Rattus norvegicus: one gene and its partners. The protein of the gene in region 2 interacts with the protein of the main gene of each other region in a pairwise test. Links are inferred from orthologs where the notes say so. Each region holds a gene or a part of one and is shown on either strand. Other genes may lie near its edges. The genes, in order: Usp20, Bend7, Nkapd1, Nif3l1, Ppp1r37, Eaf1 and Eaf2.

The links.
Region 1: the proteins of Bend7 (region 2) and Usp20 interact in binary tests that used the Homo sapiens proteins (3 or more experiments, as listed by UniProt). The two-hybrid records come from large-scale screens. The link is inferred for Rattus norvegicus from reciprocal best matches to the Homo sapiens genes BEND7 and USP20.
Region 3: the proteins of Bend7 (region 2) and Nkapd1 interact in binary tests that used the Homo sapiens proteins (3 or more experiments, as listed by UniProt). The two-hybrid records come from large-scale screens. The link is inferred for Rattus norvegicus from reciprocal best matches to the Homo sapiens genes BEND7 and NKAPD1.
Region 4: the proteins of Bend7 (region 2) and Nif3l1 interact in binary tests that used the Homo sapiens proteins (3 or more experiments, as listed by UniProt). The two-hybrid records come from large-scale screens. The link is inferred for Rattus norvegicus from reciprocal best matches to the Homo sapiens genes BEND7 and NIF3L1.
Region 5: the proteins of Bend7 (region 2) and Ppp1r37 interact in binary tests that used the Homo sapiens proteins (3 or more experiments, as listed by UniProt). The two-hybrid records come from large-scale screens. The link is inferred for Rattus norvegicus from reciprocal best matches to the Homo sapiens genes BEND7 and PPP1R37.
Region 6: the proteins of Bend7 (region 2) and Eaf1 interact in binary tests that used the Homo sapiens proteins (3 or more experiments, as listed by UniProt). The two-hybrid records come from large-scale screens. The link is inferred for Rattus norvegicus from reciprocal best matches to the Homo sapiens genes BEND7 and EAF1.
Region 7: the proteins of Bend7 (region 2) and Eaf2 interact in binary tests that used the Homo sapiens proteins (3 or more experiments, as listed by UniProt). The two-hybrid records come from large-scale screens. The link is inferred for Rattus norvegicus from reciprocal best matches to the Homo sapiens genes BEND7 and EAF2.

The regions. Positions count from the first base shown.
Region 1 is NC_086021.1:34,669,225-34,673,484, reverse strand, and holds the start of Usp20 (ubiquitin carboxyl-terminal hydrolase 20), read right to left. Parts: upstream 2,801-4,260; 5' UTR 2,735-2,800; intron 2,728-2,734; exon of another isoform or gene 2,248-2,727; intron 1-2,247. Other genes in the region: C3h9orf78 (telomere length and silencing protein 1 homolog), read left to right, coding at 3,258-3,340, 3,619-3,678.
Region 2 is NC_086035.1:78,472,640-78,476,844, reverse strand, and holds the start of Bend7 (BEN domain-containing protein 7), read left to right. Parts: upstream 1-1,405; 5' UTR 1,406-1,820; coding exon 1,821-1,881; intron 1,882-1,918; exon of another isoform or gene 1,919-2,092; intron 2,093-4,091; coding exon 4,092-4,175; intron 4,176-4,205.
Region 3 is NC_086026.1:59,860,382-59,864,675, reverse strand, and holds the start of Nkapd1 (uncharacterized protein NKAPD1), read left to right. Parts: upstream 1-1,494; 5' UTR 1,495-1,513; intron 1,514-1,864; exon of another isoform or gene 1,865-2,072; intron 2,073-3,146; 5' UTR 3,147-3,154; coding exon 3,155-3,223; intron 3,224-4,294. Other genes in the region: Pih1d2 (PIH1 domain-containing protein 2), read right to left, coding at 46-222.
Region 4 is NC_086027.1:67,484,372-67,487,871, forward strand, and holds part of Nif3l1 (NIF3-like protein 1), read left to right. Parts: intron 1-1,084; coding exon 1,085-1,223; intron 1,224-1,717; coding exon of another isoform or gene 1,718-1,800; intron 1,801-3,321; coding exon 3,322-3,405; intron 3,406-3,500. UniProt on the Homo sapiens protein: May function as a transcriptional corepressor through its interaction with COPS2, negatively regulating the expression of genes involved in neuronal differentiation.
Region 5 is NC_086019.1:88,337,793-88,342,083, reverse strand, and holds the start of Ppp1r37 (protein phosphatase 1 regulatory subunit 37), read left to right. Parts: upstream 1-1,491; 5' UTR 1,492-1,860; coding exon 1,861-2,074; intron 2,075-4,291. UniProt on the Homo sapiens protein: Inhibits phosphatase activity of protein phosphatase 1 (PP1) complexes.
Region 6 is NC_086034.1:6,707,727-6,711,226, reverse strand, and holds part of Eaf1 (ELL-associated factor 1), read right to left. Parts: intron 3,401-3,500; coding exon 3,306-3,400; intron 1,163-3,305; coding exon 1,026-1,162; intron 1-1,025. UniProt on the Homo sapiens protein: Acts as a transcriptional transactivator of ELL and ELL2 elongation activities.
Region 7 is NC_086029.1:77,489,585-77,493,084, reverse strand, and holds part of Eaf2 (ELL-associated factor 2), read right to left. Parts: intron 3,177-3,500; coding exon 3,031-3,176; intron 1-3,030. UniProt on the Homo sapiens protein: Acts as a transcriptional transactivator of TCEA1 elongation activity. Acts as a transcriptional transactivator of ELL and ELL2 elongation activities. Potent inducer of apoptosis in prostatic and non-prostatic cell lines.

The DNA of each region.
Region 1 (4,260 bases), on a different chromosome or scaffold from region 2:
TCCCCTTCTGACACCTCTAGATCTTCCTGTCCACCAGGGACCCGACCTTGGTAGTTCTGCTAATAATTCCAAATCTGGAGCTCTCCTAAGGGTGACCCTTGGAGGACCCTCAAAACTGCCCTGGGAAGCCAGGATGCAACCCATCTATCACCAAAGGTGGGGGAAGGGTCCGAGTCACAGAGCCAGGACCACAGAGCCACAACCAAACCCAGGGGACCTTCCTTGCAGCCAGTGAGTGCTCTAAACGAACTGTGGCTCCAAAATCCCAAATGGGCCAACCAGTAGGACACAGGGCCAATCTTCACCTCCTAGCTCCAGCAAGGCCCTGTTTTGTTTTTTAAGGAAAAGGGTTCTAGGTTTGGGAAGAGCCCCAAACCTAAACGCACTTTCCTTTCCAGTGACTCAGAGAAGCTCCTGGCACACGGTAGTCCGGGCCCCTGGTCTGAACCTTAAGCAGTGTGGAGCAGTGAACTGCTCTGTTGCAGATGCCTCAAAAGAGGCTTGGAAGATAAAGCTTCCCTTAGAGCTAGGAGATAGGCCTGGCTGACCTGGCGACTTTCTATGTAGACCAAGATGGCCTCAAACTCAGAGGTCTGCCTGTCTGCCTTTGCTCAGACTCCCAAGTCCTGGGATTAACAGCATGATCACCACATCTGTTTGTTTGCTTGTTTGGTTTTTTTTTTTAAATAACCCTTTGATGCCCAGGCTGTTCTAAAATTCCCTAGGCAGCTAAGTATGAAGCTGAACTTCTGACCCTCCGAAGGGTTGGGATTTTGGCATGAAACAGTACGCCCCGTTTATGCAATGCTGGAGATGGATTCCAGAGTGCCCCACACAGGCTAGGCAAGAACTCTAACCCAGCCACATCCCCAGTCCTTTAAACAAGCATTTTTCCTTATTCACTTATTTGTTTTTTTGAAGACAGGGTCTCTCTGGGTAGCCTTAGCTGGCCTGGAACTCACTGCCTCTGCCTCCCGAGTGCTGGGATTAAAGGCAAGTGACACCATTGCCCAGGTCTAACAAGCCTTTTAGAATGTTTACCATGGTCTGGCCATCCTAGATGCGACTGCTCCCTGAACATCAGCCCAGCTCCCCAGGAGGTCAGCACTCATCCCACTTCCCATAACAGACTAAAATCTGAGCTCATCTTTGAACTAGAAAAGGAAACCCCTCACTTTCCTGAAGGCTCCTTCCAGAGCACTCTCGTGTCTAAGAGCACTGCTCAGAGTGGCTGCAGTCTCTGTACCCAACACCTAGGTCAAATTTCCAGCTGCCACATTCCAAGCAATACTTGGGTCAAACGAGAATCAACTCCAACTGCCACAGCCCAGGGAGTTGGTATCACCCAGCATTCTGGCTTCAAGGATGGGAGATGTCCCTTCTCTGTGTCTTCAAAAGAGGTCTGTCTCCAAATGCTCTTGACTTTCTGATTCTTTCCATGGAGATACCAGAGTGGCCCAGTACCCTCGTGGTTAAGGGGTAAGGCATGGCTAGGCAGGGAAATTAAGAACCACTTCCGAGCCTGTGAAAATTGTACACCCAAATCCCTGGGTTCACACAGCAGATCCTAAGGATTCTCTTTTTCCCCCGCTAACAGAGACATGGTGTTGAGTGACTGCCATCTACATCTGAAGATGGCTGAACCAATCTCCAGTGTGGTCAAGACTTTGATACTTAACGCCTCTTTGATTAAAGCCAAAAAGCTGTTTCAATACATCCTGAGTTTTCTCTTTGTCCCAGTCTCAGAGGAATGTGACAACTTCAGGAAACAGCAACAAACAAAAACCCTGCCATGCCAAGGCATGGCAGACATGCCCTCCCTGCTTTAGAATAGTCTTTTAGAAAGTCTCCATCAGCCCCTCCCCCAGCCCATAAACTGGAACACCAGCTGCAGCAATAGCAGCAGCAAAGACCCACAGAGGCCGGCTGTCTCTGAAGCAAACTCTGCAGCTGTGAAAGCTCTGTCTCCAGCCCAGCTTCACCTCTCAGCTGGGTAACTTGAAGCATGGCTTACTTCTCTTACGCCTTGGTAGCCTCGTTTTTTTGAAAGAGAGACCCAACTGCATCTACTTTGTGGGATTAGATGGGAGGCTTCTAGAAGAGACTGCTTACCCCAGTGCCTGCCACAGAGTTAAGTGTCGTAAGAAGCGCTTTGCTCCAGAGGAAACTAGTAATTACGGAGTCCCTAAAAGTCCCATGTGAGCCATTAGGCACACACTTATCCATCTTATAAGTGTTTATAGATACCTTTAAAAACTACCCTCACAATATTGGGGGGTGTAAGGTGCGTATGGCAGAGCGACAATCCTCCTGGCAAAAGGAGTCATCCCAAGCTCTCGAAGGGCAGTCTCGGCCTCTGAACGTCAGTGGTACCCCTTCTAGGGACGAATGGCTGCAGGCCAACCTAGTATGGACAGTCGGCACCGGGACTGATATTCAACCCCGGCAAGGCGGTCAGCTTTTGTGAGTGAGGAATAAATGCGCATATCTGAGACTCGGAGCCCGAGAGGCCTCGCGCTGGCCTTCCTAGCGACGTGCGGCCTGCTCAAAAGCTAGGGCCGTGGTGGTTCGGGGCGGGCACAGGATGCGGTGATGGAAGGGTAGGCGGCGGGGACCTCTCACCAGGTCCCGGCCGCCCCGCAAAGCTAGACCACCCCTGCTCCAGCGGTGGCACGATAATCCCTGCTCTAGCGGCCCAGCCCCCGGCAGCAGGCAGCAGCCGTCAGAAACTCACCTGCCGTCGCAACCGCGCCGCCTGTCAGTCAAGCGCGCCCACCGCGGCGATGCGCATAGTCTTGTGGCAAAGCCTGCCGCGCCCCGCCTCCTCACCGTCAGAAGTCCAATCGGGAGAGCCTATGCCAGGGACGGGGGCGGTGTCACAGGTCACGGCCTACTAGAGGGCGGTACCAAGCACGCCGGAGGCGTGGCCGTGCGAGTGGTGAGTGCCCAAGCATGCCGGGAGTAGGGGGAGTGGCCGTGCTGCTAGGGTGTCGCCTTGTAGTTCTAAGGCTGTCCTGCTGGCGAAGAGCTTGGTCACTCGATGGGGGCGTGGCCGAGGGTGTGGCCACACGGCGGTACTTGCTCTTTTCCGAGTTCCGAGCGGGCGGCTTCCCTGCTGAGGTTTGGGGTGTGGCCTGGCAAGCCGGAGGCGGGTCTGATTCCAGCTGGCGCTCTGACGACATTTCTGCGCGCCGGAAGAGAGAGAGGTTCCTTGTACCTCGCGTCTGGTAACGCAGCGCCGAGGGTCTTGTTCCGCTATGCGGATCACCGGGAAGACATTCCGTCGGCGCCGCGCTGACTCGGAGTCGGAGGAGGATGAACAAGAATCAGAGGAGGTTCGGTACGTGTTGGGTAGGGTCTTCACAGGCCAGGAAGAGGGAGACAGGCTGACCCCATTTACTGGGAGCCAAGGTTGTTGTCTTTCAGAGGCTCCTAGGGATAACAGCCACGTTTCCCGGGCAGCGCGGCTGGGAGAGGTGCCCCGGGGTAGCATGAGTCTGACTGCCGATGACCCACCGTGTCAGAGACTCGGCAGAGAGATACGTCCTCAGAACGGAGTTTGGCATTTGAGTTTCGCAGACGGTCTCTCAACCTGTGCATCACTTTATCTTTCCCCAGGCTAAAACTGGAAGAAACGCGAGAGGTGCAGAACTTGCGGAAGAGGCCAAATGGGGTGAGGTGGGTGCCACGGGGGTGGTGGCGGCGTCATTAATGACAAAGAAATATTTCCAGCTAGAGTCACAGTCGAAAACCTCTCCTTTGACATAGTCCCTTCTCTTGACATACACTTCCACTGATCGTAGAGGGGATTAAGGTGGTGTTGTTGTTGTTGTTGTTGTTGTTGTTGTTGTTGTTGTAGATTTATTTATTATAGATAAGTAGCCGACAGAATCTTACACTGTGATTTCCAGAATATCAAATGGCTTGGCAGGAGTGTGCGACAGCTGCCTCCTTGCCTCTCAACCCCACTCCCATTCACAGCATGTGGGGCACTGACTTTTTCTTTGGCCTTTATAACTACTTTCCCACTTTTTTTCTCAATAGTGCCCATCCATCAGTGTTCCAGCCTGCAAACCTGATTGTCCCAGTTTGCTTCCTACAACTGTGACCATGACCAAAACCAACTTGTACCCCTCCTGATCATACTCAGCTATTGGGGGAATCATGGAGGGACTGAGGCAGAGACCTGGGGGAACACTGCTTACTGGCTTGTTCATATGCAGCTGTCTTATACAGCACAGGAGCACCTGCCCAGGGGGA
Region 2 (4,205 bases):
ATCGGACCCTTCCATGCCTCTTATAACTCTAAAGAGATCTAAGAACTTCACCAAACACCATTTCATTTCTTCCATACAATTTTCCTGGGGAAAGGACCCAGCCTCTAACATTACCTCAAAAAGAAGTAGAAAAAAAAAAAAAAAAAAGAATCCTCTCTTTACTCTGTTGCGCTGAATGAAAGCTCTCGTCTCACCGAGGCCAGCCAGGTTAAACCACCTTTCCCATCGTTTGCTCCACACCTATGTCTATCCTGCTGTCTCCAGTTGGCTTGATGCCCACCCGGTCCTTTGGTTTTATTTCCCAGGTATGCTTGCACTGTTTGCTTCTAACATTCCCCTTTTCTTGGTAGTTACCCTGCTCTTAATGTCACGGTTATATCAGAGTGGCTTTTGAAAGGCTATCTCATTTGACTATAACTCACCTCACTCATTCATCAAGAGAGCCCACCACACCCCCGCCCCCTCCCCGCTTTCCTCTCTATTCTTTGGAGCAACCTGACCTTACCAAGGTGCTGGAGCAGCAGCTGCCCGTCCCTTCTTCCCCTTTGTACTTTGGTCTAGAAACCGTAGATTTGGAGGCAGTACTTTTAAGCTTGTCAGATCATGTTCCCACACTACCATTCCCAGGTGATGTTAAAAAAAAAAAAATCTTTTCTATTCCCGCTTAAAACATGTGGTAAGAAATGGCGCCTACAGTAAGTGCACCCCAGAGAAAAATATTACATAAAACTCCCAACGGTCATTTGTGGACGTCAATTATTTTTGCTATTTCTGCCTCAAGTGGCAGAGTCTAGGCACCTGCTATGACCACTGTTTCTCCAGGAGCCTGCACCCCCTTGCACTCCTCACCTCTTGTATTCCTCTCCCCAAAACACCATTCCAAGCACCCCCTTTGCATATAACTTCCCCTCCAGCCCCCAGGATGGGGGTAAAGAATTGAAGTTTGCTCCATCCCATAGTCGTCTCAGCAGTCCATTCTCAAATTTCTCCCCGTTTGCTCGCAGAGCGCGGATGGGTAAGTTCTTCACCCCCTGCTAAAAGTTGCCTAAAATCCGCGCCTGGCCCTGGCACCGCCCGGCTCTCAGACTGAGCGAGGGCTGGCCGCCGAGGAGCCGCGATCCTCGGCTTATTTCTAAAGGCAGGCTCGCCTCCCGGAGCGGCGGAGGGAGGCCCCGCAGAGCGCGGCGTCCGCCCGGGGACAGCTCCGCCGGCCCCGGGCGGCCACCGACGCTTGAGCCGCGGCCTCCGGGCCACGCCGGGTCGCCGCGCGGCCGAGTCCAGCAGTGGCGGCGGCCCCCAGGGGATGGCGGCGGCCCGGCTCCGCCAGCAGGTGGCCCCGGGGTCCCGGCGGCGCCGCCCCCTCCGCCGGCGCGGCCCCTCCTCCCGCGGGGGCGGTCAGCGCCCCGGCCGCCGCTCCGCACCCGCCGCCGCCGCCCTCCCTCGGCTCGCCGCGTCTCCCGGGCCGCGTCCGCAGGCTGAGCCCAGGCGGGCCGCGGCGAGCACCCCGCAGCTCCGCGCCCCCACCCGGCCCGGCTCCCAGCGGAAAGTTGGGCTGCGGCGGGCTGCGTTCGGGAAAAAGCGAGGCGACATGAGGGGGCACCGAGGGGTCGCCTAAGACACCGGGAAGGCGGCGCCGCGCGCGGGGACAACTTCGCCCCGGGCGCGCAGCCCCCGGCCGGGCTCGCGGTGGTTCCTCCCGTCCCTCGGCCTCCCCTGCCGATCGCGACGCGGACCTTGGTCCTGGCGGCTCCGCGGCGGTGACACGAGCCCGCCTCAGCGGCCGCCTCAGTCTCCTGCCGTGCCGCCACCTTGCCCGCACCATGGAGTTCTCGGAGAGGAAAAGAAGCAGGAAATCCCAGAGCTTCAAACTGGTGAGCCGAGGTAAGCTGCCGGCCCGGGGACAGCGGCGGGAAGCCGGCGCCGCGCACCGCGCACTCGGCCCCGCGCGCCCCGGCCGCCCGCGGGCTCCACGCCGGGGGCGCGCCCGCCCCGACCCCCTCGTCCTCGCCCGAACCCGGGGCCCCCGCGGGCCGCACACGCCCCGCCGCGGGGAAAGTTGTGCCGGAGGGGGACCCACCGGGTGTTATTGAAGGTAAACAAGTCGGAGGGCACGTCAGGAAATTAGCAAACAATGACACCGGGGAGCGGAGCCCGCTCGGGGGTGCCGCCGCCGTGGCCGCCGCTGGGCTGGGGTGGCTGAGGGTTTGCCTGGCCGGCAGGCCGAGAATGGACTGGGATTTGTTTTTGTTTTCGTTTTTTTCCCCCCCACCCAAAGAGAAGGAGGGGAGAAAAAGATGATCATTGTTCTTTTTAAGAAGAATCAGCTCATTAGGGAATCGAAGCTCAAGGCAGAAATTGTTGACATACAGCATCTTTTCCAGTTGAGTGATTTGGGTGGAAAGGTAGTTTTAAGACTAGCTCGAATGCCAGCCAGACAAGTGTCATCATAAGAAAGAAAGAGAAAAATCCAGCTAGGTCCTGCAGACTAACAGGTGTACAGCACACTCTTCATAGGTGTTTATTTTGTCGGGGGAGGAGAAAGTTGAATAGTGTCTCCTCTGGGTTCTGTTTCTTGTTCGAGTCCTTCTTCCTGATTTGAATCTTTAAAAGAAAAATGATGACAACTCTAGATAAGGAACCCACCTGTCAAAATGTCGAGTATCACCTTAAAAAATGAGAGAGGTGATACCTTCGCACCCCACCCCACCCCACAGTGGCACAAGCCCTAATATGAGCCCACCCTCTTTAAATATCTTTGAATCAACTTGGGTCAAAGCCAAACCAGAGAAGCTGACCACTTTGCCTGGGTGATTTTTATCTAGCATTAGCATCTGAGGAAAGAGCCACATGGTTGTTCCAAGGGCCCCGGCAAAAGTCACGTGTAAACAGGTGACTATTGGAGGGTGGTTGCAAGGGACAGAGTTTTCCCAAACTGGGCTAAGCTGAAATGAGGATTTTATAAAGCTCACTTTTGGCTAGTCTGGAAATGGTTTAATTATAGACATTTTTGAGACTCTGCTCATCTGTGTTTCCCCTAATTTAGTTTTGTACTGTTTAACCATAGAGTAGTGCATGTATTCAAAATATTTGGCGACTCCTTGGTATCCACCTCCCCAGCAGGGGTGTTGACTCGAGTTTTGTACTTTGGAAGTGTCTCCATGTGTGATGGCCCTGTTGATACAATGTGTTCCATTCAGGAATAGAGGCTGCTTTCTTCCTTATGACCCAGGAAACTTAACTACTCTATCTTAAAAGAGAGGGTCGTTTTATCATGTTGTCCTGTGAGAGCTAAGGCAAACAACAAAAGACAAGCCCACCCAAACCTTGGATAGTTGTTGAGAAGGGATCTCTATTTTCATACCGGGGAGATCTTGCTTTGTAAAAAGCTACAGCACCAAAATGCTGTGGCTTCCACAGGAGACCGTAAGCTGTATTTGAAAATTTGATTAACATAAGGAGTTTTTCCTTTCTTTCTTTCTTTCTTTCTTTCTTTTTTTTTTTTATGCTGAGTGATTCTGCTATTCAGGTGCTTTTCAAATTTTTTTGGAAGATAAACTACTACAGGTTCAGTTAGGGCAATAATTGAATGCAAAAGATTCACTTAGGTGAAAGGTAAAAAAGTCTGGCTTCTTTTCAAAGTATACTTTTTAAAAACAGCACATCAATATCTTTTTTTTTTTAAAATACGGGCTTACTTTTAAGCTGAGATTTTCTGGGTAAACTGAGAAAAGAGGCAGTTCAGAAGCATACTATTGATGTGCTCACCAAAATGGGTTGTGGAAATAAATCTGGGAAACTCCATTGGCCTGTGATTTGGCAAGGTTTTCCTCTTTCTTTTCTTTCTTTTCACAAATATACTTGCTGTGAAAACTGTGGCCAAGCATACCTGCTTTGTAGAGGCCAAGTAACATTTCAAGGTCTTGTACTTCACAGTAAGCCAAGGTTTGACGATTACTATTAACTACAATTTCTGGGAGAGCTCTTGAAAATATACCTGTAAGTTATATATATGGGGACGGGAGTCTTTAATTGCTCATCCCTATATGTTGCAGTCATTAAAATTCTAATTTTCGGTTATTTTCTCATGCCAGATTATCACCATGAGGTGTATAAAATCTCAGAATTCAGCAACGATGTTAATGGGGAGACCAAAGAGACACAACCCATGTTCTTAGGTAGGTTCTTATATCAATTAATTTCTCGGC
Region 3 (4,294 bases), on a different chromosome or scaffold from region 2:
TAGTTTTATTGAAGACCTCTCCTCCCTTGCAGTAGCTCCACATACTAGGATCTTTGTCTGTAGACAGAGTTGAGGTTCTGGGTCGGCACAGAGCTGTTTGCCATCTTTCAGCTCCTGCTGAATGAAGTTCCGGTAGCGCTCGGGATCATTTTCTGCCAAATCATCGAGCATGCTCCAGAACTGGGAGATGTGGGTGAGAAGACCCTTTGAGGAAGCCTTCATGATGGTGATGACTCAGGCCTTTGGAACCTGTTAGAGAGACAGGACTTGAGAAAGGCATGTAGGGTAGCTATGGCCTTATTTCCTCTTTCAGGGAAGAAGGAAGGTTTTTGCAGTTGTTCTGGGGGAGGCTCTTAACTGGTCTTGCTTCCTATGTCTAAAACAGTGTACACGTACTGCTTAATCTTGGCTTTTCTACAGTCTGTGAGCTGAGCCGCTTCCTAAATACCCACGTTGTACCTGTACTTCTGTCTGGTCCTCACAAATACAGAGGAAACAGAAAGGACTGTTGTTCCAATAGCTGGAATATTGGCTGACTTGGTGCCTTCCAGACCTGAAAGTGTAGGAGAGAGGGGTTGGGGGGGGGGGGGGACGGGACAGAGAGACGGGAAGGGGGAGAAATACATAGTGGCAGTACAGTAGTTAAAACTAGGCGCATTGCAGTCAATATGCTTAAGTTCTTCCTAACTACAGACAGCTGTATTGCCTTGAGCAAGTAGTGTATATATACACCTATTCTCTCTCTCTCTCTCTCTCTCTCTCTCTCTCTCTCTCTCTCTCTCTCTCTCTCTCTCTCTCTCTCCCTCCCCTCTCTCCCCTCTCTCCCCTCTCTCCCCTCTCTCCCCTCTCTCTCTCTCTCATTTTTTCGGAGCTGGGACCGAACCCAGGGCCTTGCGTTTGCTAGGCAAGCGCTCTACCGCTGAGCTAAATCCCCAACCCCACACCTATTCTCAAAACAAAGATGAGGATTAAGAACACTAATACTTAAGCTGGAACACCTGATAAATACTACCTCAAAGTAATAGTCAAAGATCCCGCCATTACCCTCCTCCCGTAAGAGAGAAATGTCGCCCAAAATTTAAAAAGAGATTTAGAGTCTTCAAATTATATAGTAAAGTCAGATTAAATAAACAACGAATACACACTTAATCCAAACGTGGGGGAACGCACCTCTTCTCTCAGTTTGGAGACAAACTGTGACTCTAGTTACCATGGTAACCAGGCCCGGTACACCGTCTAACTGAGTCCGGGGAGTGCAAATTAGAGTGGTGTCTCTATATCCAGTTCCGGTTCTTTTCTCCAGTGCCGGACTGGCTCCTCAGCGGGCTCGTCCCGCTTCTCTCTCAGGAGAGCGCCGGCTTCCTTCCTGCACCTGACAGCTTCCACGGCGACCGGCGAGCCCGCTCTGTGGGAGTCTCCTGTGGAGGGAAGCGTTTCTCCGGAGCACGACTTCCGGCCCGGAAGGAAGCCGCCGCCTTTTCTCCCACCCCGCCACGCGAGGCTGCGGCGCACGGTATGGGTGTGTTTGTGTGTGTTTGTGTGGGGAGGGCGTTTCGAGGGAAGGCTGCGGAGAGCGCCGAGGCTGTGGCGGGGCAGGGAGCCCGCTGACAGACATGGGGGTGTTTTCCCCGACTTCCCCTTGGAAACCTCAAGCTCCCCCTGAGGCACGCTAGACACTTCCCGGGGCCCAACGGAAGGCCGTGCCCATGCCCCGTGTCCCCATTCTGTCCCGGGAGTGAAACCGAACCGCCGGGCGCCGTCCCAGCCCAGCGAGAGCGGGGAATGCCCCGGTCCGCCCGCAGGCCGCGTTCCGCGCCTGCGCCCGCTCTGGCCTGGGTCCCGGAGAGAGAGCCGCCTGGCGGGCTCGGCTGGGGGAAGGCAGCCGTAGCCTGGGCCTCGGGTGAGGGCACTGTAACCGGTGGGAAGGCTGCGTTTTCACGAAGGACTCGGGTGAAGCTGCAGAGCTGCCTTTCAGCCCTGACTCCTTGGCTTCCTGGGTCGGAGGAGATCTTGTAATGGAGTGGTTCTTCGTCTCACACTAACAAGATGCCTGATTTCCTCAGGATCGAGGGGTGAGTGAGCATCGGGACGGTGGCACCAAGCCCCTGCTAGCTACACATGTGACTATCATTGTCTTCTGGGTTTTGAAAAGTTCTGTACAATGTAGGAAACAAAATGCCCTGAGTAGACATATTTAGGTCATTTAAACTTTTTTTTACAATTCAGGTTTTTTTTAAACTGTTGTCATACGTGGTGTTTGATACGTTCAAATCTACGTGTTTATAGCGTTGCAAGCGAATTTTGGGCAATTCGAGATTTGATTTCTAGCCTGTATACTGACATATCCTTAGCCTGGGTCCATGCGGCCTGGGGGCAGGTTACAGCTTTAAGGAACTTGATTTTGAAAAGAGAAGTGGGGGTAGAGTCCAAACTGGGGATCCTCATAGGTTAAAACAGCAGCCAACTTGGAGAATAAAATTGCATCTGTATTGATCACATACAGACCTTTCCCTCTTTTGTCGTTTCTAATCTCTGTCATGACATTTACATAACATTTGTATAGTTTTAAGTATCATAATTAATCTAAATACCCCCACTCCTCCTAAATGTGGAGGAGCATGTCTGTTGGCAGCCGTAAGAGGAAGAGGAGTTAAGGGCTAGCTGAGGCCACTTAAGACCCTGTCTTGAGAAAACAGTCCAAATTTAAAATACACAGGAGCATAGTTTATATGCAAATACATTCTGGGGGAGAGATGAGCACCCTAGGATTGCTTTGTGTGTGTGCATGTATGTTACAGAGGGACTGGATCCAGGGGTGGCTCTTATGCTAGGCAAGTGCTCTACCAGCCCATACTTGGATTTCTGGAACCAATTCCCCATGGATCTTGACTACTTGACAGAGAATTGAGAGGTCTAAACAACACGGTGCTCATAGAAACAATCTTGAGCAGCTTTGTGTAATTTTAAAGACTTGCCTTACATCATTCCCTTTCATCCTTACTTATACCATAGTCGGGTATTATAATGGTGAAAGGAAATTTTTCCCTTAGATTTTCTAGTTCGGTGATTTTTTTTCTTTCTTCATTTCTTCGTTTCTTTGTAATTTAATAAAAATAAATTTATTGCATAATATTGGTTCATTTCAGATTCAAGAATGTCACGGGTTCCATTGGGGAAAGTCCTCCTGAGGAATGTCATCCGGCATACAGATGCTCACAATAAGGTAGGCAATACAATCTCGTTACCGTCAACATTTGTTGCAAGCTTACAGTTAACCATGGATTTTGTAGTGAGATAACAAAGATGCATAAGAAACAATTATAGCTTGAAAAGTATCATTGCTATATCATGAAGATAGTTACAACATGATGTGTGGTAGAAAGCAGACGATGGGTGAGTGGTGCCTGATGCTGCGGAGCTTAGGAGACAGACTAGGAGACTGTCTGATACTGTAATGAGATACTGTGATGAGAGTGACTTCCAGCAGACCACCCTCTGTGACTGGGGAGGAGATAATGACGGGACAACAATGACAAAGGACAAGCATGAGAGACACACTTTGGTTTTCAGTATATTTATGAACAGGAGCTTGATGTTGAAAACTCAGACTTGGAGTTTGGGAACTTAGAACTCACCTAATAGTGCACCTGTAATGAAAAGATTAAGACCCCCTTGTCCCGTTTTCGTCAACACACTGTACTCCTGATTTGATCGTTCCTATTGCTGCCAGCATCATAGTACTTAGGTGTTAGGTACTGGGGATTGAACCTGTGAATCACTGGGAACCACTAAGCTTGTTGTTTAGCTGGTCTTGATCTCACGTATATTCTGGGCAGGCCTTGAACTTACCACTTCCACAGTGACTATAATTATAGACCTGTGCCCCGCTGTTCCTGAGTAGCAGGTGGCTGGAAGTGTAACGGTCACTCTTGCTGCTTACACAGTTATGTTAATTCTACTTCCAGTTGCATAGGGACCTGTGACAGCTAAACACAAGGTAGTCCTAGCATAGGAAGAGGACTCAGAAATAAAAGCTTTTGCTTCTGGCAGTTGTCATCTACTTTCAGTCTAAATTCGAGTAGCTATGTCGCATTGTTTCTGTTTGTGACAAGAATTTTAATGTGAGCCATGTATGATGTACATGGCTGTAATCTCAGCACTGAGGAAACAGGAAGTTCGCTCAAGTACATGGCTAGCTTGTGTGTGGCAAGAATGCAGAAAACAAACAAAAAGGGACTGGAGAGGTGGCTGCTTTCCACAGGGGCTGGGGTTTGATTCACAGCTCCTCAATGGA
Region 4 (3,500 bases), on a different chromosome or scaffold from region 2:
CTGACTGACTTCCTGCCTGTATATTTCCATGTCTGCACGATCAGGCACATATTCTGTAGTTGGGGTAACCAACCTTATTTACAGAAGTGAGAACAGAAGCTTAGCTGGGTGGGGCCTTACCCTGAGGCACTCCTCCTCCCTCTCACACAAAGCCTCTCCTGTCTCTGGAGCCCATGCTTTGGCTCCTGCATTAAATTTCTTTGTACTCTTTTCTTCAAGCTCCATTTTCTCTTTCTTTTTGCCCTGCTTATCCCTTTTCATTGTAAACGTGCTTAATAGTGATTACCAGTACCCAGGCAACAGGGTCAGGATTAGGCTGTCTTGGACTTTCCTCCATGAAAACTTTTTGATTTAACCTCAGGCAGGCTTTTAGGACAACAGCCACATTCTTTGCCAAAATATCACAAGAAACATCTCTAACCTAGTTGCTAATAGGTCCCTCTGGAACCTTTTGAGCTGGGTCTCCTGTGCTCACCTTTTGGTTTAGAATGTCTTTCCGTGTCCCATCCTGCCCCTGTCTTTTCCTAGTGTACTTGACATGACTCCCTTTTATCTTCTTTCTGGTTTTCTGTAAGATTTACATCCCAGTAAAACCAAGAACTCCCTTCCGGACCCAGCTCATTTAGTCAGTGCCCCCTTCCTAAATGATTTATTTAGTGAGTGTGTGTGTGTGTGTGTGTGTATGTGTATGTGTATGTGTGTGTGCGCGTGCTCATGTGTATGCGTGCACCTTGTGTAGACTGTGCCTATGGAGACCAGAGAGATGTTGGATCCCTTAGAGTTACAGGTAGTTGTGAGCTGCCGTGTGGGTGCTGGGAACTAAGCTTAGCTCTTCTGCAAGAGCAGCAAGTGCTCTTAACTGCTGAGCTCTCTCTCCAGCTCCCAGTGTGCCATTCCTGCCTTGATTATGTGTTAAGTGTCTGAGAGTGCGAGCTCCGGGAAGTTAGAATGCTTTGTTAGGTTTGCGTCCCAAGCGTCAGCTGAAGCTTCCTATCGCAAGCGCACATGTAAACCTTACTGATTCCAGCTCTACACATTTTAGGAATTGGGACAGATGGGATCTCTAACTTTTATTTCTCTGCAGCCTTTGCTTCTGCATACTGGAATGGGACGCTTGTGCACACTGGATGAGTCTGTCTCCCTGGCAACAATGATAGAACGAATCAAAAGACACCTAAAGCTGCCTCATCTTCGCTTAGCTCTTGGAGTGGGGAGGACCTTAGGTAAATACCTCATCATCTGGGGAGGACCTTAGGTAAATACTTCATCATCTGGGGAGGACCTTAGGTAAATACTTCATCATCTGGGGAGGACCTTAGGTAAATACCTCATCATCTGGGGAGGACCTTAGGTAAATACTTCATCATCTGGGGAGGACCTTAGGTAAATACCTCATCATCTGGGGAGGACCTTAGGTAAATACCTCATCATCTGGGGAGGACCTTAGGTAAATACCTCATCATCTGGGGAGGACCTTAGGTAAATACCTCATCATCTGGGGAGGACCTTAGGTAAATACCTCATCATCTGGGGAGGACCTTAGGTAAATACCTCATCATCTGGGGAGGACCTTAGGTAAATACCTCATCATCTGGGGAGGACCTTAGGTAAATACCTCATCATCTGGGGAGGACCTTAGGTAAATACCTCATCATCTGGCAGATGGACTGTGATTTTGAACAAATTTTGGTTTTGTTTTTGACACCTGATCTTATAGGGCATAGGATGGCCTCAAACAACTGTTCCTTTTGCTTCTATCTCCGAAGTACTGGGATTCAAGTGTATATTGCTATTATTCATGTAAGTGGTAGAACTCGTTTAAGACCAGATCAGCCCTACATCCAGGAGATCCTATTCACGAAAACATGGAGATGGAGATCAATGCAATAAGCAAGAGGTTTAATAATCCAGTGCACTGGGGTGACCCTGTACTCGGGACAGAGGTGACCCTGAAGAACAAAGGACCACACCCTTTATACTGTTTCAGGTGTAGGCTTTAGGTTACAGCATGAGTTGGTTATTTCTCATTGGTGGGGCCTATTACTTTTTTAATTCATTGGTGGCCGCCTATCGTCCTTTGAATTCATTGGAGGCTCTTGGTGGGGAAATACCTTTGGCACTGTAGTGGGTGGTGAAGGACCCCTGCTAAGGACAGTTAGCTCATTTCCTGGAACAGGGTGTTATCCTAAATTCTACCCAGTGTTTGCCTAAGGCAGCCTTTGTCCTCAAGTTTGAATCTCACACTCATTAGCTCAGGGAGATAATTGGTTTACTATGTCAACCAGGGTTGGCTGGACTACGTCTCCCTAGCCTAAATGAGAAAATCTCTTTTTCTTAGCCATTCTGTGTTCCATCTCCAGTCAGCGTTGGAAGCCTGCTGATCCTAAACTGGTCATTGTTGCAGAGGGAATGGAGGGTTTAAAATCACAAGGTCAAAAGTCTAGACTGGGCTGGATTGTGGTGATGCAAACCTTTTTACTTACAGCACCTGGCTGAAGCAGGTTGATCTCTGTGTGTGTTGTCAGACCCCCTGAATTATAGGGGGTGGTGAGCCACGACACGGATGCTGGGAACCAATCTTGAGCCCTCTGGAACAGCAGCAAGTGCTTTTAACGTGACCATCCACCTGCTCTGCGTTGCTCTTTCTCCAGCTGTTTTTAGTCCCTTGGCCCCCTTGTCACTGCAGACCCAGCCAAGGTTTGTTATTAGCACTGAGGCAAAGCCCAGAGCTGCCACTTTGCTATTACCCGGGGGCTTATGGGTTTGTGCAGCTGCATTAGAAGGAACACTGCCCTTGTCTTGTGTTCCCTTTTGGTATCAAACATCGGTCATTTGCATAGATTTTTTTAAAATTCTTTTTGGAGCCAGGCATGCTGGCACACACTTGGGGAGTGGGGGCAGGAAGGATCACTAATTCTGTCCAAGTTCAAATTTTAAGACTTGAGAGCTGGCCCTGAACTTAGGGCTATCCTTACAGATCTGGGATTACAGGCACCATCGCCATACCTGACTTGGGCTTTGCTGTTGCTTTGCATTTATTTTTTGGGACAGGGTCTCACAGTGTAAGCCCTGGCTGTCCCAAAACTATGCAGACCAGGCTTGCCTTGAACTCACAGAACTCTACATTCCTCTGCCTCCCAATTGCTGGGTTCAAAGGTGTGTGCCACCAACCACACCCAATTTAAAATCAAAGACTGCATAATTCATTACATTGGGCTAGTCAGTCTGCATTTAGAGTTGGAATTGTAGTACAAGTCGTAGTGTTAAACTGAAAGGCGTTGTAGTATCTCTTTAACACCTGTTGGTACTTTTGTCTTGAAGAGTCTCCAGTCAAAGTTGTGGCCCTGTGTGCTGGTTCTGGGGGCAGCGTTCTACAAGGAGTAGAGGCCGACCTTTACCTCACAGGTAGGACTATTTCTGGATCTCTTCCTCAACCTTACCCTACTGTTGCGTGTAATTTTAATAAATAGGCTTCCGCCTTCTTGGGAGCTCTGCCTAGG
Region 5 (4,291 bases), on a different chromosome or scaffold from region 2:
CTGAGGAGACAGGGAGTGGTGGTGGTGTTCGAATTTGTGTGACAGCCCGGGAGCAAATGCTGCAGGTTGGTGGTTAGCATTGAAGATTTACCCTTCCTCAGTTTGCTCCACCTCCTAGTGAGAAAGTCTGTGTCACCTGTTTCAGTCCCTTGTCACTAGAAATCTTTCAGTAGATGATATCCAAAAGCAGTTCCTAGCTGAGCACAATGCCCTAAGCCTGTAATCCTAGCCCTTGGGGTGGGGAATGGGGTGTAGAGGTAGGAGAGCCAGAGATAATAAAGCCAGTCTTGCCTACATGGTAAGTCAGAGGGCAGCCTGGGTTACGTGAGAACCAGTAAAACCAAACCAACCAACCAAACAAGAAAACCTAGTTAATGCCTTTTATTGAAGTTCAGAATGTAAGTGAAGGCTTGCATTAATTATAGGGGGCTTTTGGTAATTCTCAGTCTCAAAAGTGTGCTAATCCACAATGTGAAGAGGGAAACAGTTACCCTGAGCAGTAGCCTTAGTTGCTATCAGTTCACACCGCTGCCTCTCTCCAGCCCCAGCCCAGCTCTCTAGTCCAGTTCAATCAAGTCCAGTTCTACCATTTCAGTCCCTTGCACCAAAGGGTTGACCCTTAATAAGAAGGGAAAGCGAAAGTGCCGAGATGAATCCGAGCTATGAAATCGATCCCTTGGAGGTGTGGCCTGGGTTCGCTCGGGTTTGGTCAGCTGATTAATCTCGAGCTTTTGGAATTCCGCTCCCAGTTTGTTTTTTAATCAGGTTCATGAATACCCAGCATTTACATTTGATACAATTTTGACGAGACAGTGAAGCTAAAGTCTGCTCTTCTGTCGCTTCTGTCACCTGCACGTACTCATCCTATATTCAGCTCGGCTCTCTTGGCTTTTCAACACCTCCATCACTTTACCCTGCTCCCAGTACTTGGCTTAGCCCCGCCTGGGTCTCACTCTGTAGCACCTGCTTGTCTGAGGCTCCATATGTAATCCAGTCTGACCTCGAATTCACAACCTCCGCCTTCAGCCTCTCCGAGGCTAGGATCACAGGCGTGTCACTACCCTGTCCAGCAGGTAGTTTTTAAATTAAGGACTCTGATCCTTATTTTATATTTTAAGTTTTTTTTTTTTTTTTTTTTTTTTTTTTTTTTTTTGTGGACGCGTGTGTAGAAATCAGCGGACAATTTTGTGGCGGCAATTCTTGCATTTTACGTGAGTCTCTGGTATCGAGCTCAAGACGACTTTTACCGCTGACGCAGCGCTTTTGCAGACCGCGGTGAAAGGATTTCTAGTGAATTCTTTCCCGAATTACTTGGACTTGTGACGAATGTGCGGGAGCCTAAGTGTTGACAGCTGGGCTGAGGGCGGGGGGGTTAGGGGGCGGCGGCGGCAGCGGCAGCGGCTGAAACTCGCGCATGCGCGGCGCTCGGGGGAGACAGCGATCATAGGCCCCGCCTCTGTGTTCTGCAGTTCTGGCTCTGCAGATTCGCTGCTCACGTTTCTCTTTCCCGTGGAGTCAACTGTTCTTTGTTCCCGTCTTCGTGTCGCCCTCGAAAAGATTATTTTTTTCAGAACAAAATCTCGAGTCGGGGTTATGCTTTTCTCGGTACGCAGCGGGCGCCTTAGCTTGTAGCGAAAGTGTGGCTGCGGAAGAGCAGGTACTCGCGGAGCTCGGCGGAGGCGCGTTGGGGCTCCCGGCGGCGGCGGCGGCGACGACGACGACGAACGGAGCAGACGGAGGCGGCGCTTGAGGCAGCGGCCAAGCCCATGCCCCGGAACGGCGGGAGGACCCGGAGAGACGAGTCCGGGGCCCGGGGCATGTCCCCGGGGCCCCCGTGAGGAGGAGGAGGCGGTGGCGGCGATGGAGATCCCGCCGCAGGAGGCTCCGCCCGGGCCGGGCGCGGACGCCGACGCAGATGCCGAGGCCGAGGAGGCCCCAGCCGAAGCTGGGTCTTCCAGCGGAGCTTCGCCCCCAACCGATGGGCGCCTTAAAGCTGCGGCCAAGCGTGTCACGTTCCCGTCGGACGAAGACATCGTGTCCGGAGCTGTGGAGCCCAAAGACCCCTGGAGACACGGTAGCTGTGGCTAGGGTTGCGGGAGAGAGCCTAGGGGCGGGTGGGACCGCCAGAGCGCCGACTCCTACGGAGGTGGCCCGCGGTAAATGTCACTTATCGGTGGTTTCAGCGGTTCCTAGGTTAGAGCTGGAGGCAGTGGTGTTGGCGGGAGAGTTGGAAAGGTGCACAGGATTGGGTTTTCAAACCCTAACCTTGTCTGGGAGTTTGGGAGGCTGGCAGCCAGCCTTTGAGTTCATGGTACACCCAGGCAGGAATAGATGAAAAGAACCCGTCTATAGTATTGGGGGAAAGGTAAGTGAGTCCACGGGGCGGTGAGAGCAGAACCAGCTGGTCTGTAAACCAGGACGCAAAGGGTAGCCGGCTATGGCCATTGCTTTTCTGGCTGGAATGAGAACGGGAAATAAACCCAGACTGTACAAGAAGTTGGTAAACCCTCCGACTGGGAAAAGAGGGTCGGAGGCAGCAGGCTGAGAAGCAGAGGGCGAGGTGGTCAGTTTGCCTGTATGCGAGGAATTCCTCAGTAAGGTTCAGCAGCAGAACGTGGAGCCCACTTTTACCAGGGTCTTCCTGGGGAAGGACTGGGGAATATTACCTACTCAGGTGTTTCTGGTCAACAGAAGCCGTTGGGAGATGGGAAGATCTAAGATCTAGGCCTGTTGGAGAAGGTTGGTGGGGAGGTAGAACTGGACGGGCACTTGGAGGTGTGCATTGGCTTTGATGGCTAGGAAAGATGAAAGGTTTCGGAGGAGACGGACTCAGGCTAATCCCGTTTCTGAGCTGAATTGTGTTTTGCTTGGGTGGAGCCTGTGAAGTGAGGTCGCCCACTGGCCATGTTCCGTAGAAGCTAACCTGCTTGTCTGGGAGCAGACAGACACTACTGCCAGGCTGTGGGCAGCAGAGTGGGCAGCTAGTAGCTTTGATGTATGTGAGGGCGGGGACTTGGTTGCAGGAAATGATACACTGAGAGCTCGCCATAAATGCCAGTTTGACTAGTAATTATCAAAGAGACCAAGGTTAATTTAGATTTGACTTGGGGAGCCTGCCAGGGCCGGGTGGTTTGTTTAAGGTTCTGAACTTCTTGGAACTGGTGCTGAGGACAGGAAGAGTCCAGTGGACCCTGGCAGCAACCCGATGTCCACTGTGGTGAGATCACAGCAGGAATGGGAAAGTTGGAGCAGTGTGGCCATTCAGAAGTGGTTAAGAAACCCGGTGTGGCTGTATGCAGCTGTGAGCCTAGCGCTTAGAGGCCAAGGCTGGACCATAGAGTAGCCATTCTAGGGGGGCTTGAACTGCATGGTGAAACCCTATTTCGTTATAAAAATAAAAGGGGAAAAAGAAAGGCTAGCTTGATCAAATTCTGATTTTCTCATTTGCTGTCTTTTACAAACTGCTGAGAAGTTGCCTGGATCCCCTGAGCCTCAGAACCCCCCTTCCCCAGAATGACTGACAAGAGCAGTGGCCCAGGGTCTGCCAGAGACTGAGTGACATCACACATGAACAGTGCCTGGTGAGGGTGAGCCCTCTTAAATCCATGATGATTATGAAGGCAGCACTGAGACCTGGAAAGAGCTTGCTCTTTAGTCAGGGCCAAAGTCAGAACCTAGAACCTTCCAGGATAAGGGTCAGATGGTGGGGCCTGGAGGTCAGGGCACCTGGAGGGTCAGGCAAAGTTTCTGGCCCACCGTTTTTCTGAAAAGGCTAAGCCTTTTATTTATTTTTTTAATATTTATTTAATGTATATGAGTATCCTGTTGCTGACACACCAGAAAAGGGCATTGGATTCAATTACAGATGGTTGGTTGTGAGCCACCATGTGGTTGCTGAGATTTGTACTCAGGACCTCTGAAGAGCAGACAGTGCTCTTAACCACTGAGCCATCTCTCTAGCCCCCCCCCCTTTTTTTTTTTTTACATAAAATGGTCTTATGTAGCACAGATTGTGTATGGCTAAGGGTGATTGAACTTTGACCTTCCCACCTCCCTCTCCAGAATGATGGGATTGCAGGTCTGTGCTAACACTCATTTTATGCAGGTCAGGGGATAGAGTCCAGAGCTGCTTACTGCTTGTCAAGCACTGTGGAGCCACGCTTGCAGCATATGTGTGTGTGTGTGTGTGTGTGTGTGTGTGTATATATATTTTTTTTTTTTTTTTTTTTTTTTTTTTTTTTTTTTTTTTTGGAAACAGGATTGAATTGGGTAGTCCAGGCTGTCCTCCAAT
Region 6 (3,500 bases), on a different chromosome or scaffold from region 2:
AGCTCAGCCAAGTGCAGCGCTGGATCTGATGCCTAGTACCCTCCCCACAAGAACCCTAATCATTATCTTACCATGATTACTGTAATGCAGAAAGTTCATAGAATGAATTGACTTTTAAATAAACTCTAACACTGAGTGAACCCAAAAGTTCACTATTTTAAAATTAGGAAACAAGTTTTGTTGCTATTGCTTTGAAGTTTTTAAAATTACAGTTTTATTTATGCTATGCCTTCTACCATTTGGGTCCTGACTGAACTCAAGCCGTCAGACTTGGTGGCAAACTCCTTTCTTCACTTAGCAATCTTTTTTTTTTTTTTTTGGTTCTTTTTTTCGGAGCTGGGGACCGAACCCAGGGCCTTGCGCTTCCTAGGTAAGTGCTCTACCACTGAGCTAAATCCCCAGCCCCTTCACTTAGCAATCTTGCAAGGCCACTGTTACTTTTGTTTGGAGACAGGGTCTCGTGGACTCAGACCAGTTTCAAGCTCACTACACAGCTGCAGATGGCCTTGAACTCTTGACCCTGCTGCCTCCACCTCTCAAACGCTGGGCTTCCAGGTGTGGCTCCCCGTACTCAGTAGGCAAGGTGTTATTGACAGTATAGTCACCCCAAATATATCCTAATTGACAAGCAGTAATTTAGTAAAGTTATGCAATTATTACTTTGTAATTGTAAGTCTATGCATATAAATTGAATTCCCTACTCGGTAGTATAAGAGCAATTATGAGTCTGACAAAATTGGCTCAATTATAATTGTTCTCCCCAGTGACTTCATGTTTTAGCTCTTAAAAGCATTATTTCTTTTTCTGGATTGGAGGAAAATGTACCTTTTATTGTTGATGTGTCTGAGACAGGAGTAGCTAGGATTACTGATTGAACGGTGTGGCCCTTAGGAAACTGGACTAAGTGCTCCGGAGGTTTACAAACACCTGAGGCTATTCTGCAGGAGCCTGCCTGCCGGCACACACATGAACATAGTTGTGATCCCTCCAGCACAAGAGGCCAGGGGGACACGGAGCCGCCATACCTTGTCTTCTTGACCTGGATGCTGCTGCTGAGCTTCTCCAGCACATACTCCCCAGTGTCGTGGTTAATGATGAGCACACAGTCTTTCTGGTAAGGCCGTTTGTTCCCCTTGAACACCGTCATTGGCGGAGTGGACCCCTGTTTGCCACGAAAGTGTAAACACACCAATTATGGACCGTCTACCTTTACCAAGGGCACTGCTTCATCCAATCTTTCATCAGAGCCACTCAAAAGAGCAATGACTGATCTCTGTCTTACTCCTCTAGCTTTTCAGGCAAAAGGAAAGGAACATTATAGTAAGCACCTGGTTTTGGAAATCAAGAAATATAGCATAAAAACTTTAAATTACTAGGCAAATCTTTAAGAATGTGAGGAAATATTTCAAAGAATAGTAATGCACCAACTGAGGACAATTAGCTTTGCCCTACACTTCACAGCACGGCACTAAATAACTGGTTAGAGCAGGGAGTGATCGGTGCGTTTCTTTACAATTGAAGAGCCCAGGGCTCCCCCTCAGGCAAATGACCAGCACAGCTTTCTCCAAGGGTAAGCCAGCCCGTTAGCCTGGAGGGTGGGAACTAACCATCACCCCAAGCCTTTCAATAACTCACAGGCTGCTCTCAGGCCAAAGGACATCTTTAGGGCAGCCCCTGGATCCTCCTCCTATTTCTGGGCTCCGTGGTCTTTAGGAAGACCTCTTGTTCCTGCCTCATGGCTTTAACTGGCCTTCTAACTGCTATATTTTGACACTGTAAATTATTTGACCTTCTGCTAAGTTCAAGTAACTCCTCTCTGGTTTTCCACAAGTGTTTATTTTGGTTTGGTTCTGAAACAGGGTCTCATGTAGCCCAGGCTAGCCTTATGCTCTCAATCATCTTGCTTCCACCTCTCAAAGGCTAGGATTCCTGAAAAGCATCATATCCAGCAACTGCCATGTATTCCTATATTTAAATCCCAGACCCTAAGCTGCACAAAGGCAGGACATGTCCTCATTTGGTTTAAAGTTAATTCTTACAGCCTAGTAATGGGCCAGCACATTGGACACTGATTTAATATTTGTTAAATATAAGATTTAACTTGGTCAGAATTTTTAAAAGTATGAAACAAGGCAACAACAACAAAAACAAACTGCTTGGCTCTTCAGCCCCTTATCTGCACAGTAGAAACGCAGGTCTGCAGGGAGCTTAGGGACCCAGTACCTAACTCTGTTTTTCACTTGGGAATTAAGGTCCAACGGGAGATGATGTAATCTTCCATGGACAAGATGCAATGCAACAGGAGTGCAAATGCAGACTATTTCCTCTGCTCGAGGGCTTCCAGGTTTGCTGCAGCGTCTGCACTGTCACCAGCTACACAGAGCTTTCTGTTTGAGGACAGAGCTGTGAAAAGTGCGAAGACGCTCTTCTACTCTAACTCTGTTCTACATGTGTGTGGTGTGTGCAGGTGTGTACATGTTTTTCCTGTGTGTGGGCAGGAGAAGCCCAAAGCTGACTTTTCTTTTTTGAGGCAGGGTCTTTTATTGAACCCAACTAAGTCTAGCTAGCCAGCTTGCCCCAGGGATACCATGTCCTTGCCTCTGTAAATGTGGACTCACAAGCAGCCGCCATGTCTCTCCAGCTTTTACATGGGTTCTGAGGCACCCAAACCCCAGTCCTCCTGCTTGACTACCTCTTTTTTTTTTTTTTCCGGAGCTGGGGATCGAACCCAGGACCTTGCGCTTCCTAGGCAAGCGCTCTACCACTGAGCCAAATCCCCAACCCGCTTGATTACTTCATTCCCTCAAGCCTCTCCCCAGCCCAAAGTATGAGCGCAAACACAGTCTCCTTTCTGTTTTCCTCTGGCTGTACTGGGGATTGACCTAAGATCAGCCTGCACCGGACCCCTTACTGAATACAGAGATGTCACTCTGCCTCCTGACCTGTCTTCTGGCTGTTCTATATGTTCTCCTGCTGTGATACATAGGGCACAAAGGGCCCTTTTCTCCAGAACTGCTGGGGTAAATGTTACATATGCCTAGCAGAGGGGCCACTGTCTAGATGGAGCCTTGCCTAGTGTACTATATATGAGGGGGAAGGGGGGTCAGGAATAAGGACAAAGAACTACCTTAAACCAAGCCCCGAGACACATGAGTAACAGCCCACCTGACTCCTAAATTCCTTTTCTACTTATGTTAGCTATTTAAAAATCCAAAATAATAAAAAATAAATAAATAGAAGGAAATATGAACTGTAAATAAAACACAAGGGTTCATCACATTAGACCAACACGGGAAACAACTTACAGGGATGTGAGGCAGTGTAATTGTGACTTCATCTCCTTTGCCAACCTGGAGCTCTCCTTCACAGGAAGTGTCTATGGATGCTGGCTTAAAGTCATCTGAAAGGAAACAATGGAGAGTTCCCACTGGGTGGCTGGGAATGAGACTCCTTGGTCTTTTAATTTCAGATTAAATAAAAATAGCTGAGGGTTCCCTTAT
Region 7 (3,500 bases), on a different chromosome or scaffold from region 2:
TTCACTGTCACAGGAAAGATGTAAAAATCACTTTAGATGCCTTATCATTGCAAGTTTTAAATATTATTATCTTAAGTACTAGTATTAACCAAAAAGTTAGCTTTTGCTTTAATTGTCACATATGATTTGGGGATGTCATGAGGACAACCATACCCTATTGTCCATTATCTTTCTCTGCTCTTTATCCATAACTGATGCCCCCACATCCCTTCTTGTTGTCATTTCTTTTATGATTACTTCCATTTCTAAAGCAAACATTTCAGAGCAGCCCCCTAGTAACAAGTATTTTTTAGTGTTCATTTCTGTGGAAGTCTATTTCCCATTTATCACTTGAGACGAATTTGGTAAGCACAGAGTTCACGACTTTCAACATTAAGTAGTGTAGTGCCACTTCTGAGTCTCCAATAAGACAGTGATGTCACCTACATGGCGTTCCTCTATGTAATACGGCATAGCTCCCTTGCCATCAGAACTCTTATCTCTACCCTTAAATTTCAGATGTTTAATTCTGATGTGTCTCACCATGCATCTCTTTGGTTTATCCTGTTTTTGATTTGCTGGATTTCTTGAATCTATGGATCATGTTGTTCATCAACCTGAGAACGTTCTTGGGGATTATTTCTCCCAATTATTTTTCAGTCCCCTTTTCTTTGTCCTCTGAGAGTTCAGTTGTCTCACCTCTTGGGACTTTTGTCACTCTGCAACAAATCCTTGGGGCCCTGTTCCCCTTGTTTAAGGACACTTTCTGTTTTAGATAAGTGAATTCTCTCAGTCTATTTAGTCTCTAGTAAGTGGGCCTGCCCAGTGGATTTGCCCTGTTATTTTGTTAGTTTTATAATTTCTATTTGAGCCTTGTTTAAAATTTCTCTTTAATTCTACTCTTCACTTGCTTCAAGAAAATTTATAATTGGATCATTTTGTGAAAGCTATTTTAAGATCATCATCAGATAATTCTAACTTCTATTTTCTCTGAGAATTACTAAAGACATTACTCATTCAAGTTGTGATTTTCCTGATTTACAGTATAATACGTAACTTCCCATTCTAGGGGACAACTGACTTAAATCTTTTAGTTTAGCAGGCAGTCAGGTTCAGGCTTTGCATGCAGATGCTTGCCTATTTTTGTGACAAATGACACTCTAAATTCAGACCTTTTGCATATCTGTTTTGGTTTTCTTGGTAAATCTCAAGCAACTAGAGTTCCCATTGGTAAACTTAACAATGGAGTTTTACTAGCACTGAAGCCCAGTTCCTGGGAAAAGGAAGTCTGTGGTCTAATACAATAAAGACTGCTTTCAGGGTTGTGTGTGTGTGTGTGTGTGTGTGTGTGTGTGTGTGTGTGTGTGTCCATGAAGGGGGAGGAAAGTGAAAAGTGCTTCCCAGCAAGGTGTTTGTTAGGCAGGTGTCCCTTAGTAGTATCACCCAGTCTCAAGGTGCCTTTCAAATGGAGAGAAAACTTTGAAGGCAGGGAGGCTGTCTGGGAGATGAAAGGAATGAGCATTCCTCATAGCGTGGTATCACATGCACATGCCTTCTGCCCATGCATTTTCTGATGGAGAAGGACAGGCTCAGCCCAAGCACAAAGAAGATCTTTAAAACTTCAAGCGCTCATGATAGCACTATTCCTTTTGCTGGAGTGCTCAGCTTCCTGGTGTCTCTGAGTGATATGGGGAATTCTAGGTCCTATCTAAATCTCTTAAACTCAAATTCACAGATAACTCAAAGATGTAAGTGCAGAAACAGATGCACAGAATTTCTAGTGTAATTTCTGGATATATATTGGAAAGATGATTCAGTCATCAGAGAATAGTCAGTCATGAGGCCGAAAAGGTAGCCCAGCAGTTAAGAGCATGCTCTTCCAGAGGACCCAAGTTCCCAAAACCCATGTCAGGTGACTCACAGCCACCTGTGAGTCCTCTTCTGGCGTCTGTGGGCACCTGCATACATGTGAGCATACGCATATTCCCACACACATACACATAATTTTAAAATTGTTTAAAAAAGAAGTTAGTAGTACTCTAGAGTTAATAAACATTTGATAGAATATAGTCTAAGGATGCTATGAGCATCTCCAGGTAGATAATGTCCCTTTGCATGTAAATTAGAAAAAGAAAACTATTCTTAGTTCAACTTAGCTGATTCTCTACCTTTTCTATGAGGTATGATGTCAAAGCACTGATTTAATTAAGGTCTGACCCAGAAGTGCCACATGAAGAACCTTCTACCTATCCCACAGACTCACTCCTCAAGACACAACTGCTTTCCAGAATTGTTTCACATAATGAATTGCTTTTAGGATCTAGTAGCAAGGAATAGAACGGTTCTTTGGAATCTATCTTAATATACTATATGTTAAGATAATATAAAATATATAACTTACATCTTTATTTTTGTTTTGGTATCCAGTCATCACAAAGCTAAATTCTATTTTAATTTTAATAACTAGCATATACACTTTACATTTCCCCCTTTAATCTCTTAATTTTCTAGCTATATACATATATAGGAAAGATACCATGATACTATTTTGGAAGTAGTCAGAATAGAAGGTAAGATAAAATTCAAGATCTGGGATCTTGCTGCTGTTCAATCACTGTACCACCAATATCCCTAGTGTAGCTGGAGAGAAGCAGAGATTTCAGTTCCTTCCTTTGGAACACTCTATACCTCCCCAGAAATGCCTTCCTGCAAAAAGGGGCACAGTAACAGAAAGAAACTTCATCCTGTTTCTGTTGATTTGATGGTGCCTTAGCCCTCTGTAACTGACTGTGAACAATAAATTTCACAGAAGCTGCTACAAAGCACTGATGAAACACTTTTTCCTCCTAAATGATACTAAAATTTTTTCTGACATGCATATACTTATATAAATATGCAAATTTATATGTTATATCATTATCCTAGAAAAGTACACAATCATAAAATAAATTATGTTCTCACTAAGTCCCACTGTACATGAAAACTAACACTTAGTATTTACTTAATATCATTTACTTTTATACACTGACATTATACACAGTTAGAATTTACCTCTTTCAATATCATCCATTAGAGACGTTGGGGACAGCTTATCTTCTGATGGAGAATGCTGTACAAGGTTGGATGTCCTGGGTGGATTCCACATTTGTTGTTGCTGTTGTTCTAGTCTGCACTGGATTTTGCTACTTCCTTCTCCTCTGCAATTAAGAATAACAAATATCAAAACCAGATAAGCTAAAAGTGTCACAAATTCAACATACTAAGTTACTAAACGTTATCACTCGACCTTTAGACACCTCTCAAATGACATTTAAGGATAAGACGTTAAACCATTTAACCAATATGTATTGAGTTCCTCTGGTATGTGTGGGATACACACAGGTCCCTGGAAGGATGGGAGGACTAATGGTAAAACAATGCTACTGCTCAAACGAGCAGGCAGTAGACTTATAGATGACTACAATAGGGGAAAATATATGTGCAAGTGAAACTAGATCACGTCCATGTTTCCCACTCAGAAT